Canis lupus familiaris: one gene and its partner. The protein of the gene in region 1 interacts with the protein of each later gene in a biochemical or structural test. Links are inferred from orthologs where the notes say so. Each region holds a gene or a part of one and is shown in the gene's direction. Other genes may lie near its edges.

The links. The genes of interacting proteins can lie anywhere in the genome.
Region 2: the proteins of SNTB1 (region 1) and CYSLTR2 interact in a test that uses a peptide from one of them, tested with the Homo sapiens proteins (2 studies listed by IntAct, with this or other methods). The link is inferred for Canis lupus familiaris from reciprocal best matches to the Homo sapiens genes SNTB1 and CYSLTR2.

The regions. Positions count from the first base shown.
Region 1 is NC_049234.1:20,013,024-20,018,673, reverse strand, and holds the start of SNTB1 (beta-1-syntrophin), read left to right. Parts: upstream 1-2,165; 5' UTR 2,166-2,180; coding exon 2,181-2,727; intron 2,728-5,650. UniProt on the Homo sapiens protein: Adapter protein that binds to and probably organizes the subcellular localization of a variety of membrane proteins. May link various receptors to the actin cytoskeleton and the dystrophin glycoprotein complex.
Region 2 is NC_049243.1:2,925,206-2,931,122, reverse strand, and holds the start of CYSLTR2 (cysteinyl leukotriene receptor 2), read left to right. Parts: upstream 1-2,205; 5' UTR 2,206-2,660; intron 2,661-5,917. UniProt on the Homo sapiens protein: Receptor for cysteinyl leukotrienes. The response is mediated via a G-protein that activates a phosphatidylinositol-calcium second messenger system.

The DNA.
Region 1 (5,650 bases):
TACTTCCAGCTGTGCCTGGGCCTCCCACATTGCTTGACCATAGAGGTAAGACACAGGCATGATGGAAATGGAAAATACTGGTTTTGATTTCTAAATCACCACTCCGGGGTTCTGGTGTCTATCTCCTCCTTAGTGTTTTGGATTATTATGTAGACACTTAGGCTCTGATTTCCCTAAAGAGTGAAATGAGTGAATCCTCAGCCTCTAAAGCAGAGGGCTGTCCCAACTGTGGTACATCTGCAGAGGCTCTCTCTCTGATCCTGTGACTGCTGTCCCTGCTGTGGGTACCTCTACACAAAAGAACACGGATCTTGTAGAAAACCGGTGGATTAAAAATATAGGAAAGGAGGGAGTTCCTATAAAAATATAGGAAAGGAATTAATGCTTAATCCGCTGACCTGCCTGGTGTCCGCTGACCTGCCTCCAGTGACTTCTCAAAAGATGCCCAAATGGGGGATCCCTGAGTGGCTCAGCGGTTTAGCGCCTGCCTTCAGCCCGGGGTGTAATCCTGGGGTCCTGGGATGGAGTCCTGCATGGGGCTCCCTGCGTGGTGCCTGCTTCTCCCTCTGCCTGTGTCTCTGCCTCAGTCTCTCTCTCTCTCTCATGAATAAATAAATAAATAAACAAATAAAATCTTTAAAAAAAAAAAAAGATGCCAAATGTTTTCATTTCATTCAGAGACCCTGCCTGGAACTCCAGCTACCCTTTGGGGGCTCAACTGTGTCTTAAAAGCATTATCAGTTAAAAGTGTGGATCACTCTGGAAGGGTTAGAGAATGTTCGGTGATGTCAATGGTGATACACATCAGTGGGAATGTGTTTGGTAAGATTTCTAACCTTGCTGGGTTACTTGTGAGTTTTGCTTTGTTTTGATTTTAGACAGCGGGGAGAGAGATGAAAAGTTGGGGGGAGGGGGATAAGACTTAAAACTGGTGGGGAGGCCCATGACACCTGATTACGGCGGGAGGAGAACCTCAGAGGTTCAAGGACCCGGAACACTCTGAGGGGGTTCAGCCGTGACTGGGGTTAGGTTGGCATTTCTTGATTGGCCTGGTAAGGTGACCAACTATAATAATACCGTCCCCCTGGAACAATGAGTAACTAGTAACTAGTCCAAACAAGTAAGGGAACTTTGCAGATACAGTCCACTGCCACCGAGTTCTCAAACGGTGGGACCTCCTACATTGGATTTTGGGAAGAAAGAGAAAGTCCCAGGAAACAACTGGAATGGCCCTGGGTGGGGTGGGGGCGGGGACCAGACAGAGACGCAGATTGCCTACGGAGTGTTGAAGCTGGGAAGGCGTCAGGTCCCGGGGTCTGGGGTCGGGGGCAGGCAGTGACCTGCTGAAAGCCACCGGCCAGCACACGCGCCTCTCCAGGGATCCGGAGGAAAGAAGTCCTGCCTGCATTTCGAGAGAGGAAGTTTCGGGCCCTCGGGCTATGCTGACGCTCCATCCTGAGCTCTCGGGACAGCCGTCCCTCTGGACTCTCGGAGAACCCGGGGCCTCCATCCGAGTCTACCTGGGAACCCCGGCGCGGAGGGGAGCCAGGTGAGGAAGAGCTCGGCGGGAGAAGCCAAGCCTCGGTTTGCGGAAGCCGGAGCGAGGAGGGTCTGGGTCTGGGTACGGCTGGGGCGTGGGGGGGGGGGGGCGGGACCCAGGGACAGTGGGGCGGGCTCCGGGGCGTGGAGCGCGGGCCCCAGGCAGGGCGAGGGGTCCGGGCCAAGGCGCGGCGTGGGCGCCCGCGGGGCGGGGAGGGGGCGGGGCCGGGGGTCGGAGCCGCGAGCGGCCGGAACAGGTGAGCGGCCGCCGGGCCCCGCCGGGCCCCCGCCCTCCCCGCGGGCGCGCCTCCTCCTCCCGACCCTCCGGGCGCCGAGCGCCGCCGCTCCCCTCCGTTGGCGCGTTTGCAACTGGCAGCTGGCTTTTTTTTTTTTTTTTTTTTTTCTTTCCCCTCCTTTCCCCTCCCCTGAGTGTGTCTCTCCTTCTTTTAGGTCGCTCCACCCCGCGCAGGATCCGGCGAGGGGGAGCGCGCGGCGGCGGCCACCTCGCGCCGGGCGCGCGTGCCAAGTCCCCGAGCGGCGCCCCGCGCCCGGCCCGCGCCCCGCGCCCGCGGCCTCCCCGCAGCCCGTGCCCACTCTTCCCCCCTTTGGCAATCGCACGGCGTTTTAAGAATGCCGGAAAGATGGCGGTAGCGGCGGCGGCGGCGGCGGGCCCGAGCGGCGGGGGAGGCGGCCGCGCGCCGCGGAGCGGGCCGCTGGAAGTTCTGGTGCGGGACCGCTGGCACAAAGTTCTGGTGAACTTGGGCGAGGACGCGCTGGTCCTGAGCTGCGAGGAGGGCGCCGCGGCGTCCAACGGCCTGGGCACCGCCACCAATGGCGCGTTCTGCAGGGGCGCGGGCGGCGCGCAGCCCCCCGACTCGCCGGCCGGGGTCCGCACCGCCTTCACCGACCTGCCCGAGCAGGTGCCCGAGGCCATCTCCAACCAGAAGCGCGGCGTGAAGGTGCTGAAGCAGGAGCTGGGCGGGCTGGGCATCAGCATCAAGGGAGGCAAGGAGAACAAGATGCCCATCCTCATCAGCAAGATCTTCAAGGGGCTGGCGGCCGACCAGACCCAGGCCCTGTACGTGGGCGACGCCATCCTGTCGGTGAACGGGGCCGACCTGCGGGACGCCACCCACGACGAGGCGGTGCAGGCGCTGAAGCGCGCGGGCAGGGAGGTGCTGCTGGAAGGTAGGGGCTCCCGCCGGCGGCCGCGCACACACCCCCTCGCACCCACCCACGTGCCCGCGCAGCCCCGGGGCCGGCGGCGGGGAGCTGGGACAGCTTTAGCCCCCCTGCCCCCGGGTCCCCAACCCAGGTCCCTGACCCCGCGCCCCTAACCCAGGTCCCTGACCCCGCGGCCCTAACCCGGGAGCTCTTGCAGGCCGGGACCCTGCAGGGGTGTGTGAAGGGGCAGGGCGAGCAGGCTTAGTGCACCGCGTGTCCTGTTTCCCCGCGGATAATCCGAGTGAGGCGTGGGGGCCGAGTGTAACCCGGGGCAGCCGTCCACGCGGCGGGGAGAGCCCACTGAATGAATAATCGCAACTCTGCTGCAGCTTCGTGCCTCGGCACTATGTTCTCAGAAGCCTGGGCGATCTGATTTAAAGGGTTCATTCAGTCCCCCCCAAAGAGGATGGAGAGGCGTGGCCGTGTGCGTGGACCCCCCCGCCCCCCAAGCCCCCTCATCCTCCCGGACTTCCCTCCTCGCAGACTGGAAACCCGGGTTATTACGCTGGGGGAGTTGTGCCAAGGGCTGGGGAAGTGTGCCGCAGCTTCATGCAGAAGTTGGTTCCCTTCTGGTGCCAGGTGTTTGGCCGGTCAGTCTGGATTCCAGGCTGCTCTGGCTGGAGGGTTGCTGAGGCAGTTTTTCTGCCTGGCCTCGTCCCGGGATTTTTCCTGAGTGGCGTGGAAACAGTTTCGCATTTGTAAACAGTTTCCCCTGAGTGGGAGGCTTCTTGGAAAGGACTCTCTTGAGATCCTATGTCCCCAATCCCCTAATTTTTCAAGGGAGTGGAATAGGTAGCCGAGTTGTTATAGCCTTTTGGGATTATGTGCTGTTAGGAGGGCAGAAGGGCAGTAGGGTATTAAGTGGATAATCATTCTCCTTTCCCACTACATCTTGTATCTCTTACTTGGTAACTGCCTCTCTGCCCCCATGGCTTGCTTCGTGCTAACCTCAGTTAGCACACATATCATGTAATTATTTTTGCCTATTTACTCAGCTTCCCCCTCACTGTAGATTGAGTTGCCTGGGGTCTTTTATTTAGTTATGGGTCATCTCCCTTGAGTTTCAGGGCTCAAGGATATGCATGACAAGTGAATAAATAAATGAGCCCATAGCCATGGTCGCACAGTATTTCAACCCAGATCTTGTAAACTGGTGGTTGATTTAAATCCGAAATTGAGGACTTAAAGTCAATTTCCTGCTCACCAGATGTGGTGCTGGTGTGTGAAACCGAGAAAGTTCAAAGTTGGAAAACCAGCTTTGTTACATGTGACAGCTGATGCAACTCTCTGGTACACGATCGTCCAGCTCCTGCCTAGAATACATAGGGTCCTCCCCCACACACTTTTATTTATCTAGAGGATTTGTGATGTCTTCATATTTAATAGCTACCCTGGATCCAGAAAGTGGAAGGCTATTTGCTTTGGCTTGATGATTAACATAAGTAAACAGAAAAAAGTTTTCTTGACTCGAGTGTGTGTGTTGGTTTGTGTGACAAGAGGCAGGTGGGATCTGCGGCAAGTTTAGTTTGGACTATAAACTGCTAGGCGCCTGCTTCGCTTGCAATATTTGCTATAAACTCTCAGGGGGGACAAAAGGCAGGCCATTTCTCTTTCAATTCGTTATGTCTTTTATGTCCTTCATTATGTCTTTTCTTCTCTTTGGTTTCAATTTAATGAATAATAACTTAGCAAAGAGATGAAAAAAAAAATCTCTCACCCAAAAAAAGAGGAAGGAAAGGTGACTCCCTGCAGTTGAAAATAAATTTAAAAGGAATCAGACAGTTATGTGACTTTACGGATGCAGCAACCTAAGAGTGAGTTTTGTAAAAACCTCTGATGTGACATTCTTGCAACACGCCATCCTGTGTTACGGGCAGGACCTCTGCGGGGAGGCCTGTGGGCCTCCTGGAAATGAGCCACCTGGGCTTGGGGGCAGCAGTCTTATTCCCAGCCAGAGTTTTCAGAGATCGACTGCAAATGAGAGAAGCCAGTAGAGGCCCCACTCAAAACAATGTCTCTTGCTCTGAGTTGAAGTGTTGGTCCTGAGTGCGTGCAGTAGGAGTGATCATACACCATCAAAGCAAATATCACACGTCCTCTCTTTGTAGCTTATAGTAGTGCATGGATTCCCTACTGAAGGGGCATGTCAGTACCACCGGAAGGGCTTTTCAAAATCACACACCTACTTGCCGGTATTCTCAAATGCATTCTTGATTGCCGAATTTCTGCATGGGAATGATTTTATAGATGTAATCTGCTGGGACGAGAGGCTTAGGGAGATGTTTTAAAAATATGTTTATATGGAGAGTACACAGTTTTTAGATTGCTTTTTTGCTTTGGGGGTGGTTTTTTTTTTTTTGTTTTGTTTTGTTTTGTTTTTTGGTTGGTTTGTTTTTTGAGCTGGCCCATGCAGCTTAATCCCTCAATTTCAGCCAATACGCACCCCATGTAATGACACGCGCCCCCTAGTGGAGAGTCCATACCGCTGCTAGTGGAACCCCCTGAAATGAAAAGCTGAACAGCAAGTTTCCAAGCCTGCGTTCTAGTTACAGAGCCTGTGACAGGATTAACCTCCTTGAGCCTCAGTGTCTTCTGAAAAATGAGAATAAAGAAACTTCTGCTGGACATTCTTACTTTGTAGGGCCTCTGTATGGAAGAGAGTCTAAATGCAAAAGGAAAACAGGATGCGTATCAAATGGCTGCTGTGATTAGTTATGCTATATGAAATGAAGATGAAATTCCCTCTCCCAGGGGAGAGTCCTTACCTCATACTGTACTAGAGTTTATATTTCGTATTTTTAGTCTAAATTTTAAAAAAAGATTTTATTTATTTATTCATGAGAGACACAAAGAGAGAGAGAGAGGCAGAGACACGGGCAGAGGCAGA
Region 2 (5,917 bases), on another chromosome or scaffold:
AAAAATCAGTTGGTCTACCCATTTTGGCTTGTTTTAAATTTTTGCCCAAAAAACTTTGCTGGTGCAGATTTTGGTACACACACACACACACACACACACACACACAAAAGCAACAAAAAACAAACAAACAGATGAACAAACAGATGCATTGAACAAAAGCAAGCAGTGCAGAGTATTCAGCTATTTCTGGATGGCAGTGGAGTAAAGCCTCAATCCTACATTAAGTCCTTCCACTGTCTGTTTGAGTGCACACTGGCCAGGTTGCCCATGAACTTGCTCCTTGACATTATGTGTTGAGAATATTTTATTCTATCTCAAAGCAAACAAAACAGAGACCTCTGAAGAGATGCTGGTTCTAGACAATTTAGTAGACCTTAACATTTGCAGCAATTCAACAAGCTTTATTTCTGCTGAGACTAAGATTTTGGCCAACCTGGGAGTCCCCTAAAATTTTAATTGTAGAATAAACCTGTGAGGACCTTGCTGCTCTTCTTGTGGAGTCATGGCATCTTTTTCAAGGCTGCCGTTGAAAGAAGTTGCTCAGGCTCAGGATTGCCTTCCCACCAAACCTCCCAATTCAGGGAGACCGCCCATTTATCATAATAGCATAGCAGTGTTAAATGTGTCAGAAATTGTAGGAGCTGAAACTCAAATACTGTGCATTGCAAACAGATTCCTGGTTGATAGAGAAGGGAAGAGGGAGTGTGTGTTCCCTACCACCTTGGGATCAGTTCAAACATGCCAGACTTGCCCAAGCTTTAAGCATTGTCTCCCAAGCCACAGGGGCAGGGAACGGAGGATTCAAGGAGGAAAGCCATCTTAGGTGAGTTTATCATTCAAAACCATCAAATGAGGGCTCCCATCATTCAACCTTGGGTGATCGTCATTGTGTGAATTGAATTCCATTCAGAAAAATTTATAGCAGAGCTCACCAACGGCCCATGAGTCAGCTCCGATTATAGGAGATTTTTCAATCTGGTCTCAGACTTCAATGTCATCCCCATTTGTTCTGCTGAACACCTAGTACATGCAAAGCTCCATATGAGTATTGTGGGGAGGTGGGAGTAAAGATGAATGTAGAAAGGCACAATCTGTACTGTGTTGGAGTTTATAATTCAACAGGAGTTTGCCAGAACTGAATGTCGAAGGACCCATGCACTGTTTAAAAAATTATGGAGTTTTATTAAGCAATGGTTCCTGTGTTTGGTGTGTATTGTAATGAAAGGATACAGATGAAAATCAACAACAGAAAAAAGGCGTTTGGGGTAAAGTCTAGGAGGGACCTAGCACAAGCTTCCGGTTGTCCTATCCCAGTGGGGTGTGCTTACTTCTTCAGGCAGCGATGTGTGGCAATACACACAAAGTATTACCAACAAGGAAAGCTCATTGAGCCTTGGAGTCCAGAGATTTTATTGGGGTTCGATTACATATGCATGGATGACTGAGCATGTTGTTGACCTAACCCAGGCCCTCCAGAGATCAAGGGAATACCATATGGCCCAAGGCCCTCAATAAGTCACATTGTTAGCATAACTGTCTGGTATAGCCCAAGAAACCTAGGTAAACAAAGATAATTTTATTAAGTAGGATATTCCAATGACCTAGAGGTTATCTCCTAGAACTTGAATAAGGGCCAAATATTTTGGGGAAATATACATGTTTAGACAACCCAGATGTGCTGAAATAATCCTTTGCTACACAGAACCCAAATGCATTCTTATTGTTAAAAAATTCAAACATTACAGACAGGTCTAAATCACCCTCTTCTTGGAGGAGCATCTTTACAAATGTAATGTTTGCCTACGTGCTGTTGCTAGAAGCTCTGTTGTAGTGCGCACTGGGACTCTGTCTCAGAACATCTCCAACATCTAGTAAGAAGACAGACGGTGCCAAAGATGCTTAGCATTGGACTAATCTTCCACATATTTCCCAAGAAACTCTCATAAAGATTCAGAGACTACATTCCATCTGACTCCAGATACATTGTGGGAAAGTTAAAATAAAACTTTTCTCTTAGGAAAAGAAGATGACTGAAGAGACACTTGTTCTCAAGCCAGTTACAAGTCTAGAGTGGCTTATGTGAATTCCTTTGGGATCACTAGGGATGGCAATATGGAATTGGAATGCTGCCATCAGAATTGAGCTTGAGTTCCGGCCTTTCCACTTCTCAGTGACTGTAGCAGGTTGACTGGTGTCATCCTCCAAAAGATAGGTCCACGTCCTAAACCCTGGTACCTGCCAATGTGACTTTATGTGGAAATAGGGTTTCTGCAGATGTAATTAAGTTAAAGATCTAGAGATGACATCAGCCCAGACTTAAGGTGGGACACAAACCCAATGACTGGCATCCTAATAAGAGAAAGGAGAGGGAGATTTAACACACAAAAAGCCATGCACAGGAGGAGGCTGTGTGGAGATGGAGGCAGAGATTGGAGCATTTCAGCTTCAAGCCAACAATGTCAGGATGGATGCTGCCACCAGGAGCTAGGAAGGAGCAAGGAAGGAATTTGTTTGCAAAGACCTTATATCCAAATAAGGTCACATTTACAGATACCGATGTTAGGACTTTAATTTCTCTTTTCTGGGGACACAGTTCAACTCCCAAAAGAATCAAGGGTGGAAGCAAGAAGTCCAGCTAAGGAGCAATGGCAGCAACACGGGTAAGAGATATTTTTAGCTTGGATCTAAGTTGTATTAGAAGACTAGTGAGAGGTGGTCTGTCTCGGGATGTATTTTGAAAGCAGAGTGAACATTATTTCTGATCTATTGGAAATCAAAAGGCGAGGCATCAAGGATGTCTCAAGCTTTTTCATATGAGCACTTGGAAGATTACAGATGTCATTAATTGAAGTGGCAAAGGCTGCGGGAAGAGCAGACTTCTGTATGAAGATCAGGTGTTTGATTTTGAGCACGTATAATTTAAGACGTCTTTCAGACATCCAGTAAAAATATTGAGTGGGAAATTGAATAATAAAATCCACGGTAGTTCAGGGAGAGGCCTATGCAGGAGATATAATTGGGAATCACGGGCATCTGGGTGGTGAACTCCTTATCTTGGCCATTCTGTCGACATTGTACTTGGAAAATATTTACATGAAAGCTTTAGCTGGAAACCTGGAGGTTATCCTGAGCTGAAAAAGTCTGTGAAAGAGTAAAGCATTTGCCAGGCTTCTTGGCAAAATCCTCAGTCACTTATCTTTTGTAGGAAAGGGATATGACAAAGAAACTTGGTCACTTACGAAAATAGGTAACACTGAGCTCCAACAACATGCCAGATTTATTTTATAAGTTCTTTCATTCATGACTTAAAATAACCCTTTGAGATTGCTTGGTACCGTTCACAGTTTCTATTACAATGGGGAAAACCTAATTTTAAGGTGGATAGATAGCTCCGAGGTATCCAGCTTCCAAGGGGCACGGTAGAGATTCATACCCACGTTTGCCCGAGAGTGGATTTGGAGATGTTGAGCACCGTGTTAGTTAACCTCACAAGCGTCTGTGCCTTTTGTAGAGCCGTCCAAGGAAAGCACTTCTCTGAAATACATTTCTCAAATTACCTCCAATTTCCTATTCTTAACTTTTGATTACCCCTAATCCCTCATTTCTACTTTTTTTTTTTAATAAGTAAGCTCTATGCCCAACATGAGGCTTGAACTCATGACCCTGATACCGAGAGTTGTATGCTCTACTGACTGAGCCCGTCAGGAGCCCTTCAACCCCTCATTTCTGACAGTGTGTCAGAATTTCCCATGGGTGAGGTGAAATAACTTTGTGCCCAGAAAGGAGTCCTGACAGTTACTAAGCTGTCACACCAAGGCTCATCCCCTTCCAGCTGGAGACGATGATGGCTGCCCAGACCCAGATAACCAGAAAGGGGTGGCAGTCTCCAGCCTGCCCACACTGCCTGCCTGTCCTCTAGGTGTTTCTACAACCTCCTAGCCAATGTGTGAACTGCAGGCCAAGCCAGAGTCTCTTGGCCTAGCGCATGTCTCCGTGTTCTCCGGAGCCAATAAAATGCAGCATGAGAGTTCATCAGGCACCTTCTGGTCTACCCACCCCTGACGCCCTGGTTGTGGGGCAGGCTGGACCTTGTCTTTGCCCTCCATCAACTCCAGGACCTCTGGTGGAGAGGCTAGATAGTGGCCAGTTCCTCCATTCCCTCCATTCCTTCCTACTCCCACTCTGTGCCCCTATACTTTTTAAGGTGATAATAATTATAATTATTATGATAACAACAGCCAAAATTTATTAAGTATTTATGATGTGCCAGACACTGTGCTCAGGGTTTCACACAAGACAATGCTTCGAAGCCTCACGACAATTCAGTGGGGGTATATACAACCTTTTTGTGATAAGGCCATTGAAACACAGAAAAAGTAATTTTCCCATGGTCGTAATGCTAATGGATGGGATTGCTGGCCTTCGAACCTAGGCCCTCTCCTTCCTTCCATCCTCTGTCCTATGTGGTGTCTTCCTTGGAAATAATAAGTATAATGGTAACTAGAATTGTAACCAGAAAATATATCAAGACTTGTGTCAACCACCCCACCAAATTTAGAAAAGGAGGCCCAAGGCAAATGAAATAATATTCTGACTATTGCTATATTTAACTTCTCTTTTCCTTCCTTCTTTTCTTCTTTCCCCCAAGAATAGACTTGGAATAATATGGTGGCTTCCTGAAAGTGGGGAAAGTGAAAGTGGGGTCACAGGGATCATGTCTCACAGTGGACAGAAGGTCAGCTTTGGCATCAGCTCACTGACCAAATGCTGAACAGTAAGAGACTTGACAGTAACAGACCCTGAGGAACACATCTTCAGGGGCCTCTTGATGTTGATTTTATGACTTCATTCCCTTGAAATTTCCTAGGAAAGTTGGTTGTCCTTCTGTTAACATAGTAACTGGAAGAGTCTGCTGGTTGGTTAACCGCAAGGACAGGGCTGATGAAAGGGAAGGGTGTGAGGTACATCTGCACAGATTATGACTCAAGACCAGTGTTTTATCTTTTTTTAGTTTCTATATATAGCCAGTTTATTTAAGAGTCTAAACTCATGTGATTAAAACAGAAAATGTTAAAAAATTTTTTTCTAATAATTTTGTCCAACCAGCCTTGTCAAACTTTACCAATGGGTAGCTTACTCTTTATTGATATCTTTGTAGAATTTTATAATTCTGTTTTTTTTAAGATTTTATTTATTCATGAGAGAAACAGAGAGAGAGAGTCAGAGACACAGGCAGAGGGAGAAGCAGGCTCCTTGCGGGAAGCCCAATGCGGGACTCGATCCCAGGATCCCGGGATCATGATCTGAGCCAAAGGCAGACACTCAACCACTGAGCCACCGATTTTTATAATTCATTAGGCATCTAGTTTTAGAACAGTCTCATTTTGATATTTAAGCTCATTCATATTCATTTCCAAACTTCTACCTCAAAAGTTGTTCTAAGCTTTTTTTCCTTCGTCTTCCTAGTACTAACTAGACCTGTCTTGGTTCTCAGGGCTTATGGGGTTAAATGTGGTTTGTATGAATGTGATTGAGCACAGGTTTGATGCCCCTCACAAGATCAGATTTGATTTAATAGGGAAAATTCCAGACTACGTGGTTTTGTAAATTGTCGTAGCTTCTCCTTCCCCCCATCTCACTGCCCCTGTCCATACCAAAGATGCTCCATCCCATACCTCTTGATCCTGGAGTTATTATCTCCTTCAGGTTAACTATCTTTGATCTGGTATCAGAAATGTGACTCAAATCTAGTTATTTTCACTGGAGTCTGTTTGACCTGTTGGAAACATACACATCTTTGTCTTGTCAAATGGTGTACAAGCTATTCCACTGGCGAGAGCCCTCTCCATCTTGCCATTATCCTGAAGTTTCTCTTCTTCTTGCTCAACTAAAAGAGGCAGAGTAGACCACAATTAGG